Linked DNA regions of Canis lupus familiaris. Each later gene encodes a partner of the first gene's protein in a complex. Links are inferred from orthologs where the notes say so. Each region holds a gene or a part of one and is shown in the gene's direction. Other genes may lie near its edges. The genes, in order: LMNA, ZMPSTE24 and BANF1.

Region 1 (4,240 bases):
AATTTAATTTTCTGGATTCTTTACCAGAGAATAAGCTGTGGGAGGCACAGGGGCAGGACATAAAAGCACGTGGGTTCTGGAGCCTCCGCCTGCCACCTCCTAGAAAGGATGAGATGGCCCGTGGGGCCAGGGCCAGGATTATGGGGGGCCAGTAGAAGACAAACCAGAGGAGTCCTTGGTAAGGGCTGAGGATAGAGGCTCCAGAGCCTGGGGTGGGGAAACCTGGGGATCTGGGTGATCCAGTGGCAAAGCAGACCTGGTCAGAGAGGGATGCAGAGATGAGTGCAGGGCTGGCCTTTGCAGCCAGGAAGGTTGTGGGGTCTTTGCTGTCCCAGCCCCCCTAGTACTGCCTTTCTGGTTGAAACCAGGACAGAGACCCACCACTGGCTGTCCAGCCCCTGCCATGCTCCCCCTTCCAGGCCCCTCTGGGAACCACAAGAATCTGGGACCTGGTGTCCTGGCAACGTGATGAATGCACGCACAGCTCTGGTATCTGTTTTAAATTATCCATTAAAATAAGTACAGTCCTGGAAAAAAAAAAAATAAGTACAGTCTTGGAGTTGGCAGGGTGGGATAGAAGGAGTAGAAAGGGGAGGAACCAAGGCAGCCTCTTTTTCCAGTTGCTTGAGTCTGAAGGAAGGGGGCAAGGGATGGGGTGAGTGCCTGGGTCCCACTCTTGGCTTTCTGTGGGGGCATGTAGCTTGGCACTTGGGCCTAAGACCCAGTGCTTGGTTTTGAAGGGCGAAGTTGGAACAGAAGACAGGAAAAGAGGGACCTCAAACTTCTGGTCCCTGCCCCAAAACCGAGGGCTAAAGGAACTCAGGACCCAGAAACTCCCTGCAGCCTGGCTCCCCAGGGAGCCCAGGCATTCCTTCCCCACCCCACCCTGGCACACAGAGATGCTGCTTTGAATGGGCTGCCCACATGTGGAGGGGGGCAGGGGTGACTCACTATTACTATGGGAAGGAGAGGGGGAGCCAGCGGTGGAAGGAGAGTGAGTCACCCCATGGGCACCAGCCTCAGCCCTCCCCCACCTTTCCTGGATCTGCCGGCCTGGCGCTTTCTCTCTTCCTCCTGCCCTTTGCCCACCCACCCGCACCCTTTGGCTCGGCCTTCTTCTACACAGGAAGGCCCGAGTCCGAGGGGACAAGCGTCGGGGCTGGACCGGGAGCCCGGAGCAGGCGGAATCCAGGAGGGAGAAGCCCCAGGCCCGGCGGGTGCGCAGGGCGGGGTGGAGCCCCACTCAAGCCGCCGCCCCGCGGGGCTCGCCCTTCCCCACCGCCCCCTCGCCTCCCGCTGCGGACGTGCGCGGCCCCTTTAAGAGCGGCGGCCCCTCCTCCCACTCCCTAGACCTATTAGAGCCGCTGCCCCGCGTCGGTGACTCAGAGTGTCCGCGGGAGCGCCGCAGCCACAGCCGCGCACCCAGATCCCGAGGTCCGACAGCGCCCGACCCAGACCCCTCGCCTGCCAGGAGCCCGCCGACAGCCCGCCGGCCCGCGCGCTCCCACCCCGAGCGGTCTCTGCCCTCTCCGGGACCTCTGCCCCGCGGGCAGCCCTGCCACCCTGCCGGCCATGGAGACCCCGTCCCAGCGGCGCGCCACCCGTAGCGGGGCGCAGGCCAGCTCCACCCCGCTGTCGCCCACCCGCATCACCCGGCTGCAGGAGAAGGAGGACCTGCAGGAGCTCAATGACCGCCTGGCGGTCTACATCGACCGTGTGCGCTCTCTGGAGACGGAGAACGCGGGGCTGCGCCTTCGCATCACCGAGTCGGAGGAGGTGGTCAGCCGCGAGGTGTCCGGGATCAAGGCCGCCTACGAGGCCGAGCTCGGGGATGCCCGTAAGACCCTCGACTCGGTGGCCAAGGAGCGCGCCCGCCTGCAGCTGGAGCTGAGCAAAGTGCGGGAGGAGTTCAAGGAGCTCAAAGCGCGGTGAGTGCGCCCAGGTGGTGGCGCGGGGTGGGACCGGAGAGGGTGGGCGGACAGTCGCCCTGGTCCCACAGCAGCCGGCCCATAACTCGGCCTTCCAGTCCCCTCCCTCCCCGGAACTGCCCCAGCGGGTGACTGGCAGTGCCAAGGGAAACTGTCAAGACAGGACTGAGAAGGGAGGGGTCTCTGGGAGAGGGTGGTGGATATAGGGAACGGTGGGGTCATCGGGGCCACGCAAGGACTGATGGTAGGCCCACAGTCTGTCTGGGTGGGGGCTGCCAGCCCTTTGGAGCTGAAGGCAGGGGCCTGGGCAGAGGACGGCTGGCCCTGCTAAGTTCAAGAAATCTGGACACTCAGGACACATTGAAATGGGTGAAATGGTCCTGTTAAAACTTTCTTGGCTGACTTGGCAGTGTGCCAACTTTGCCCAGACTGTCTCTGGACGCATAAGCACCCATGCTGGCGGGCGTTCAGTGGTGCTGGAGAGAGGTTACCAAGGCAGGGACGTGGAGGGGACCTCCTTGGCACAACTCTTTCCAGGATTCTAAGAGTTGGGAAGCTCTCCCTCACTACTTGCAGGTCTGGGACCTTTCCTGGGCTCTGACAGGCCCTCTAAACAGCTTGAGGAGCTCCGCTCCCCCGCAGCTCCCACAGCCCTTGGCCTTCTTGGCCCAGGAATGCAGGAGAGGGAGGGAGACCGAGGGCAGAGGCTCCCGGCTCAGGCTCAGGAAGTTGTGTTATACCCAGGTCTGGTGCACCCCCTTGGCCCTCTGCTTGGTGTCTTGGACATTGGGGGCTGCTTCTCCTGGCCTGTCTGCTTGGGGTGAACCACTTTCATTTCCTGGCCAAATCTGAATAATCTTTGCTGTGGCCCATCCACTCAGCCACTGAAGGTTTTTTGATCTTCGCCTTATGAAACTGCTGGAATAGGTGACATATTTGAAATCCAGCCGTTGGCCGCTTGAGGCCCCTCCTACCTCACCCATCCCAGCCCCACCCTACCCCACCCTACTTGACTCCACCCTCCTTTCTAAAAAGGCCTCTGGATCCTGGAAGTTCAGGCCCTCTTTTCCTGGCCCCTGAAAATTTGTTTTCCTCTTCTCTGTTACCTCTTTCTCTATGAACACCCAAGCCAGAGAGCACTAGGGTGTTTGAGATCCCTGGGACAGGAGGCCCCGTGGCTTGATGTCCCCTCATTCCCCCCCTTTCAATCTTCTTCTCCAAACTCTTGCTCTCCTGGGAGCCTCTATGTGTCCAGTGAGCTTTCTGCCCTTCACCGGCCAGGCCCCTGGCCCGGTGGGCGTGGGTACCCATCCCCTTGGGAAGAGTAGGTGGAGACAGTACACACAGACAGGCTGACTTTTTGGAGACACCATGGAAGGAGATCACTCCCGTCTTTTTGCAGTAGTGATAGGAACAACTGAGCTAGCAGGACAGACAGGAGGCAAGATGGGGGCGGGGGCAGAGAATCTATGTCAAATTAGTCTGCTCAGTGACCAAATCCCCCCACTGCTGATTCCTGTGACGAGCTTTCTCAGCAGGTCTTTCTTTGGGGAGGACATTGATCGGAAAACGGGATGAGTAGACTCTGCGATCTCTGGCTAGCCCCACCACGCCAGGTTGTCTGTCTCTGCCTCTGGCCTAGTGCAGCTGTCCAGGCCTGGGCCGCCAGGCGGGTATGTGCGCACGTGGGGCAGGGGCGGGGGTGGTGTGTGTGTGGACTGGTTATATTTAGCCATCTGCCTCTTTCTTCCCCTGTGATCCTGGCTGGGGAGGCTGGGCTTCTGGGAGAGGGGGTGGGTCTGCACACCTGGATCTCAGGCTGCTGGGAGGCAGGGTGGAGACAAAGGGGACTTCAACTGGGGTGTGGGTCCCCTTCCGTGTCTCCAGTGGGAGGCCCCAGGATGGGCTGCTGCTTTTTATGTCTGCTGTGCTCAAGGTGAAGCAGAGAAGAGGAAAATGAAGAACTTGGGAAAGGAAGAAAAGCATTGTCGTAACTCCTCGCACTAAAGCCTAGAGAGAAGGTGTCCTCTGGTTTAATGTTTAATTAGAGCTCAGAGTTCAGGGCTGGGCTTCTGGTTGGGATGCAGAACTGTCTATGAGATCCCTGTGGCAATCCCCGGCCCAGCCTGGTACCTTGACTACACCCAGGGCTTTCGGGCGCCCTCTCATTGGGCTGGGTTATAGGCTCCACGCAGAAACCCCCCCCCCCCCAGTACCCATACACACGTTCAGTCTATTCCAGAGTCTGAAGCATTTGGACCCTAAGTGTGAAAACAAGGAGCAGTAAACACCAGGAAAGCCCCACCCCCACC
Region 2 (3,642 bases), on another chromosome or scaffold:
GAGAGAGAGGCAGAGACACAGGCAGAGGGAGAAGCAAGCTCCATGCACCGGGAGCCTGACGTGGGATTCGATCCCGGGTCTCCAGGATCGCGCCCTGGGCCAAAGGCAGGCACTAAACCGCTGCGCCACCCAGGGATCCCAAAATGCTTTCTTTTTAAACCTTTTTTCTCATTTAGAAGTCATTATACATCTATTGAAGAGGACTGTAGTAACTAAACAAGAAAATAACAATTCCTTTAACATTCCTCCTCTGGGGTCTAAATCAGCTCTCTAAACCAACAGTTACCACAGTTGTTAGGCTCCAGGTGAAATAGCACTATATTCTGTTGACTGGTTCTGAGCAGATGTGGCCTTAGCTGAGTCTGAAGTGGGTGTTTTGTCTTGTTTTGTTTTGTTTTCATGTCAGATGGGTAATGTGCTAAGGTCATAACAAGGTTTGAGGGAGGCACATGTCCTACAATGGCGTAATAGGCTAATAGACTGTGTGCTCAGCAAAAGCCAGTGGGGGGAATATCTGGGTTGTTGGTTAATGCACTGACTCCATCCCTGGCACCTTGGCCTTTGTTCAAGAGCCCCTTGACCAAGTCCTAGAATAGCTGGGGAGAGAAGCTAACATCCGCAGAGTAGGTATCTTCACCTTACTGACAGCTTCCTTTGCTGTGGCCTCTTTTAGTGAACATTCACATTGGACTAAAATATTATACTCTGGGCTAATTTTGGAAGCTTTTCCACATACCCTATTTTCCACATCTTGTTAGCCATTCTTAAGTTCATTCCAATTCCCTGATCATCCAGCCAAACCATTATTTGCCCACTGCCAGTGATTGTATATTCTTAGCTCAGGCCTTCTGTCCTTCCAAGCTGAGTGAGCAATGAAATATACTACCCAAAGTTTCCCTCATTTAGAGTATTTCCTTTATTGTTGTCTTCCAAGTACAGCCCCAAGTGGTTCTGTAATGCCACAACAGTCTACTTTGAGCCAGTGCCAGCATAGTTGTACTAAGTTAATTGTAAAACAGGCTCACATTTTTCCTCCTCAATTAAATGATTATAGGGAGCTCCCCATGAGTAAGGGTTGATTGAGGGGGGTGGTAGCGTGGCAGGAGTTGACATACTAGGAGTATGATCCACTTGCTCATTTAATGTACTTCTCCCTTCATGACATCCTTCATTCCCACTTGCATATGTGCCGCTTATATCTGATTTGGAGTGCTTCAGGGCCTACCAGTTTTCTGGCTAGGTGGATCAACATGGCAGTCAGTTTAGGAAGGGCAGCTCAGATTGCAGGTTTGTAGTGTCCCACAATCAGGAATCAGTCTCTGGTAGGGCCCAATAGCAAACTAAAAGTTGTTTTTCAAAAGGCAAGTAGTTACTTGACAAAAATGGCATGCATAGCTTATTTTAACTCTAGGGGCCTTCACTGTGAGTGAAGTTTTCTGTTGGAGCTTGTCATGTTGAATCTACTGAATTATAAGGACTAAATGATAGAGCTGGTTGTGCTTCAACCCAGGCCAGCTGGCGAACCTTATGCTGAGCCCAACTCTAGGCTGGTAGCTTTTGAGTCATCTGGCAGATGGTTTAGAGCAGTACATTTGAATAGGGTACCTCTGGCCTCCAAGATCCTGACCACCCAGTACCCCTTTTACTCATATTTTGGTACAGATTTTTTATTTTTTTATTTCCCTCCCCTCATTTATTGTTAAAGGTACATCTACTTTTTTTTTGGACCTTAGTACTCAGTACAGCTCCAGTGGTTCTAAAAAGTAGGGAGTCTTGTTTTTTTGGAGCTTCCACATCAAGGTGAGTGGAAGGCCTTGTGTCTGATTACAATTTAGTGCAAACAGAGCCAGAATCCATTCTAGCCTTTTAGCTTTTTACAGAAAGAAAATACTCCATTGCTATTGGCCACTTCAGACTCTCAGTCATAGGAGGCTCCACTTAAACTTGCCTATCCATATAGAAACCTACAGTTTAGACATTTGGGGAAATTTTATTTTTCTTTCTAGGATAAAACTGTAAAATTACCCAAATAACTTTTTCTATGATTACACTAAAACTATTCGTAGTTAGAATCACACCATGATGTCTGATTCTAGTTTTTTGGTGCTTCTGATCCCATTGTGAAATCACCTTAGTAATAACTTAGGAATTTTGTGTCTTTCTTTCTAGATGAATTCTTTCCTGTGTTTCTTCTTGTTTGCTGTATTAATTGGTCGAAAGGAACTTTTTGCTGCGTTTGGTTTTTATAACAGCCAACCCACTCTAATTGGATTATTGATCATCTTCCAGTTTATTTTTTCACCTTACAATGAGGTAATGTATAATCGTTAAAGTTATCTCACATATGCCCTTGCATTTCAAATCTAGAACCTTTAGGATAGTGAAAAAAGAAATAAAACTATATTTTTAACAAGTAGATGATTTAATCCTTTCATTTGCTGGCCAGTCTAAGAAAGTAGCAGAAAAACCCAAGCCCAAATGAACAAATGCTTGCATGCTGCCAGCAGGGGTGGGGGTGGGGGGGTGAGTAGAGGACTAGACTTTAGTGATGGAAACCTTGATCTAACCTGTACCTCAGAGACTTGGTAGATGGAGATTAACTATTGGAATGCTATGTTCTAGATCACATATTCCCCAGTGCTTGGCTGAAAATCTTGTGTATGTGAGGGAATGAAACAATGATAGTTGAGTATATGTATGTATGTATGTATGTATGTATGTATGTATGTATATGTATGGCTAAATATGGGAGACAGTATGATGACACTGTTCCTCTGATTGTGTTCTCTGACTACCCGCTTCAGAATAGCCTTAAGGGTCCCACCTCAGGCCCTTTTGGTGTGTTATGGTAAGTGAGGTCAGATTGCTCAGTAGCGGGACTCCATGCAGGTGGTAAGGCATGGGTTAATGAGACTGTATATTAACAAATCTGATGATGGCAACATGTCATGATATTTAATAAATTAAGTCAAATTAAGCCAAGAAATAATATTGGGGATTTTGAGATGTTTCCATACAGAAAGATTCTTTCCTGGAGACAGGTTGTAAAGATTTTTTTTTTCTTTTCTTTTTTTTTTTAATTTTTATTTATTTATGATAGTCACAGAGAGAGAGAGAGAGAGAGAGGCAGAGACACAGGCAGAGGGAGAAGCAGGCTCCATGCACCGGGAGCCCGATGTGGGACTCGATCCCGGGTCTCCGGGATCGCACCCTGGGCCAAAGGCAGGCGCCAAACCGCTGTGCCACCCAGGGATCCCAGGTTGTAAAGATTTTAAGATAAACTAAATGAATCCTGTTTCTCCATTACAAAGGGGGAAAGGGTTGGAAAAGAAAAATAGAAAAGAATAGATCATATTTACATAGCATTGTCCATATAAACTAAGAAAGTTTCCCAAAGCACTGAGATTTACTACCTTTACATTCTTTTTTTTTTTAACTGAAAGTATTTTCTAAAATGCCTTATGCATTTTGTTACTAGTTAAATGGATTAGAGACACTTTTTGTTTTTAAGATTTTATTTTTAAGTAACTTCTACACCCAACATGGGGCTTGAACTCACAACCCTGAGATCAAGAGTCTCATGCACCACCGACTGAGCCAACCAGGTGCCCGTAGGGAACACTTTTTAATGATTTTGCCATT
Region 3 (3,829 bases), on another chromosome or scaffold:
ATGCCACTCACCCTCACAATCTGCTGCTGGTCAGAGGGCACCATGTGCTCCCCCAGCACCTCCTTCACCACATGCTTCCTCTTGGTGGCCTGAGACATGCTGGGTCCTGTCCCAGGGCAGTGAGGGACGCAGAGACTGTCAACTCCTGAGTTTCTTGGATGACAAGTTCAGAACCCAGGATTGTTCTGAAAATAGAGAGATCCTTTTTACTAAGGAGTGACTGTGTCCTGGTTAAGAACATGAACTCTAAAACCTAATTACTAGGGGGATCCCTGGGTGGCTTAGCGGTTTAGCGCCTGCCTTTGGCCCAGGGCGTGATCCTGGAGTCCTGGGATCGAATCCCACGACGGGATCCCTGCATGGAGCCTGCTTCTCCCTCTGCCTGTGTCTCTGCCTCTGCCTCTCTCTCTCTTATGAATAAATATATAAAAATCTTTAAAATAAGTAAGTAAATAAAATCTAATTACTAGGATTCAAATCCTTCCTTGGCTCTTTCCTAGCTGTTCAACTTCACTAGCTTCAGAGAAAAAATAATAGTTAAACCCAATCACTAATTAGTAGAATAAAATAATGCAAGCCGAGCACTTAGAACAGTGTATGGCAAACAAAAACAACTCACAAGTACTGGCAAAATCACAGAAACCGAATACCAGGTTCTACAGAAGTTATTGGGGAAACCTCTCAGGAAGGAGTGTGAGATAAACTGTATATTCCTCAACATATTCGTACATCCTATGTGTAGCACAGCCACGTAACACAGATGCCCAGCTTATCAACACACTACGGTCAAAAACCAGTGAGAAGACAGCGCGATGGTCCACTCCAGGAACGAGTTAACAAAAGTCGGGTAAGCCGGCTCGGCTGCGGCCACTGCCAGGTTTCTGACGTGGGTACCGAGAAGACGAGGACCGGCACCATGAAGGCTGACGGTTCCCAAAGGAAACTCCGAGGTGTGACCTCTGGCTGCCGTCCCCTGCCCACCCCCTTCCCTATCCTGGAAGAAAGACGCTCAGAGACCGACACTTACCCTCTGCCCTCGTCTCCCACGGGCGGTGCCCGAACGACCTTGTTCTCCAGACTGGACGCTGAGAGCGGCTCGCCCACGACTCAATTCGTAGCTGAGCCAACGAGGGCACGGGGAAGGGGCCCGCCGGCAGGCAGACGCACACTCAGGTCGCCCGCGCTTCCGACTCCTCCTAGCCGGGTGATCACAGGCGCTCTAGAGTCGGACCCTTCCGAACACCGTACTTCCGGGGCTATCGCGGAAGCTCACCAGCCGCCCTCCCCGCCTGGTCCGTCTCTCTAACTCTTCCCACCTCCGGGTCGGCCAAGGTTAAGTTCTTGAGTTCCCGATGCCGCGCAGCGGGGAATGGAATTTTCTCCAAGGCCTCAGGTCCCTGAGACCGGACAGGCTGCCCGAGAGGCGAGACCACATAAGGCAGCTGGGCTTCCCGCGAGGCAACCCGCAAGCGGTGCCTAGGAAGGGCGCCGCTGAGGTCGGGAGCGCTTCTCTCTATGGCTCTACGCGGCTAGAAGTGCCCAGAGGAGTTTTTTTAAAAGCGGCTCTACAGACGACCCGGAAGCGGAAGTGGAAGAAAGTTCTAGTGAGTTTGAGATATCGGTGGGAGCAGCCGGGTGGCGGTAGGAGCCGTTACGGGAGCCGGAGCTGCTGGTGAGCGTTCGCCGCGGAGCAGGGCCCGAGCTGGACGCGGGAGGGGGTGCGGGGAGGAGAGGGGCCTTAGCCGAGAAGCCCGCCAGAGGAAGCGCCCTCGGAGCCGGCCCGGCTGCCGTGCGGGGAGAGGGCGGGGCGCGGCGCGGCGCGGCGGCGCGTGGAGGGGGCGGGGCCGGCGGGCGGGGGGCGGGGAGTGCGGGCCCGCGGGGCGCAGGAGCGTGTGCACGCTTTTGGGTTAGTGCCCTCGCTCTGGGAGCGGTGCGTGCGGGCGCGTGGGACCGAGAGACCCTTCATTTGCTCCCTTCTTAGCCCGCCAAGGTCACAAAGGGAGTGACAGCCTCAAGGAGGACCCAGGCTACCGACTGGGAATCTTCCCGCTGCCCCGCGTGCGCCACCTGTGAGGGCGGGCTAGTTTTTCCCCTGGGGCTGGACGAGAACCCGGTTCCCACAGAGAACCATTCTTTTGCCCAGCGGGAAAAAGGCTCTTCTTGGACCTCAGTTCTCTTACCCATGAACCGAGGAGATCTGAGTGAGCCGCCGTAATGGCTGGATTAGCTTTCACTTAATATAAGTAACATTGTCACTGGGCCCTTGGGAGTACCTGGTTTGCAGCCCTAACTTACCTTTTCTTGGGATTCCCAGATTAAGCTGATCAAGATGACAACCTCCCAAAAGCACCGAGACTTCGTGGCGGAGCCCATGGGGGAAAAGCCAGTGGGGAGCCTGGCTGGGATTGGTGAAGTCTTGGGCAAGAAGCTGGAGGAAAGGGGCTTTGACAAGGTGTGGGTGGCAGCATGCACCTGGGGGATGGGGGTGAGGGTGGCCTCACTTTGTGGGTGAGGAAAGTGAGAGTAGATGTTGAGGGTGGCCTGAGGAGATAGCCACAGCTTGCCCACTTCCTAGGCTCATGTGCTTTGGATGCCACAAAAGTGGCTTTGTTCTTTCTTGGTCCCATGGAACTTAGCAGCATGCCCTTTCCCCGTTTGCAGGCCTATGTGGTCCTTGGCCAGTTTCTGGTGCTAAAGAAAGATGAAGATCTCTTCCGGGAATGGCTGAAGGACACATGTGGTGCCAATGCTAAGCAGTCCCGGGACTGCTTCGGGTGCCTTCGAGAGTGGTGCGATGCCTTCTTGTGAGGCTCTCTGGATAGCCCCCAGTCCCAAGCCCCAGCATGGAGTCTCCCGAGTTTGCAGCCGCGTGGGAACTCCTCCCCTGTCCTCTACAAAGGAAGAGATTGCTATTGTTGTACTCACTTCTGATGTACTTCAAGGTCTTTGGGAGTTCTCTTCCTCTCACCATTTCAACTTTTTTGAAATTCTCACTCTTGCATGCATCTCCCCACTCCTTCCCCCTGCCAGTTTCATGTCAACAATTATCAGCTTTACCGAGTGAGTTCCTGGCCCTTCCCTCACCCCCACCCCCACTAGTCTGGTCTGTTTTATGCTATTTGGCTCCTTTTTTGGCAGAACAGTCACTGTCCTTGTAAGGTTTTTTAAATCAATAAAGTCAGTGGCCTTCATGACTGGGCTTCATGTGTTCAAAAGCAGGTGGGCTGGGACTTCCCCAGGGACTGACCGGGTCTGCCACACTCCTTTATCAGTACAGATCGAAACTGCCAGCTTCCTTCCCACTCCGGAGGGCAGCCATGTGGGCCTCAGGCAGGTGCCTTGGAGTGTTCCTTAGTAATCTGGCAAAGAGTGTGGGTTGATCCCTTCCTGGGATCTGGGTGGGCTGTGATATTCCAGATACCAACCGAGTCAACAGCTGGGCTAGGCAGCACCTGGTGGAAAAATCAGTGGGAGTCAGGAATACCAGGAAGAGGGTGGATCAAATGTGGGTTAGAGTTTGTCTGCCAATCATCATATACTCTCCTGGCCTCTAGGAGAAGTGGGCAGGGCTCTGGTCGTCTGGCTGGTCCTCTTAGGGAGGCAGAAAAAACATAAGACATCACAGTTGTAGGGGCCTGAGTTAGTTGGGTACGTTTTTGTCCTGGTCTTTGTTGAACTCTTAGTACGAGCCAGGTCCACAGCTAAGATCTTTGCAAAATTTTTTCTCCCACAGTAATAAGTAGTTGTTTTCTCTTTTATAGGTGAGGAAACCAGAGGCTCGGAAAGACTGAGTAATATGACCGTGGACTTACTGCTAGGAAGGAGTCAG

Evidence for each region.
Region 2: the proteins of LMNA (region 1) and ZMPSTE24 are in contact, whole or in part, in a crystal structure (PDB 2YPT), measured with the Homo sapiens proteins. The link is inferred for Canis lupus familiaris from reciprocal best matches to the Homo sapiens genes LMNA and ZMPSTE24. Residues at the interface, in NP_001393912.1 of Homo sapiens: Cys661, Ser662, Ile663, Met664; in NP_005848.2 of Homo sapiens: Ser264, Asn265, Ala266, Tyr267, Phe268, Val332, His335, His339, Glu415, Leu438, Asn439, Asn442, His459, Arg465.
Region 3: the proteins of LMNA (region 1) and BANF1 are in contact, whole or in part, in a crystal structure (PDB 6GHD), measured with the Homo sapiens proteins. The link is inferred for Canis lupus familiaris from reciprocal best matches to the Homo sapiens genes LMNA and BANF1. Residues at the interface, in NP_001393912.1 of Homo sapiens: Ser431, Gln432, His433, Ala434, Arg435, Met540, Lys542; in NP_001137457.1 of Homo sapiens: Val11, Ala12, Glu13, Pro14, Glu83, Asp86, Ala87, Phe88.

What each region holds. Positions count from the first base shown.
Region 1 is NC_049228.1:41,702,022-41,706,261, reverse strand, and holds the start of LMNA (lamin), read left to right. Parts: upstream 1-1,360; 5' UTR 1,361-1,572; coding exon 1,573-1,928; intron 1,929-4,240.
Region 2 is NC_049236.1:2,743,886-2,747,527, reverse strand, and holds part of ZMPSTE24 (CAAX prenyl protease 1 homolog), read left to right. Parts: intron 1-400; exon of another isoform or gene 401-507; intron 508-2,169; coding exon 2,170-2,313; intron 2,314-3,642. UniProt on the Homo sapiens protein: Transmembrane metalloprotease whose catalytic activity is critical for processing lamin A/LMNA on the inner nuclear membrane and clearing clogged translocons on the endoplasmic reticulum.
Region 3 is NC_049239.1:51,771,482-51,775,310, reverse strand, and holds BANF1 (barrier-to-autointegration factor), read left to right. Parts: upstream 1-1,389; 5' UTR 1,390-1,672; exon of another isoform or gene 1,673-1,703; intron 1,704-2,314; 5' UTR 2,315-2,329; coding exon 2,330-2,452; intron 2,453-2,661; coding exon 2,662-2,808; 3' UTR 2,809-3,191; downstream 3,192-3,829. Other genes in the region: probable RNA-binding protein EIF1AD, read right to left, coding at 12-98. UniProt on the Homo sapiens protein: Non-specific DNA-binding protein that plays key roles in mitotic nuclear reassembly, chromatin organization, DNA damage response, gene expression and intrinsic immunity against foreign DNA.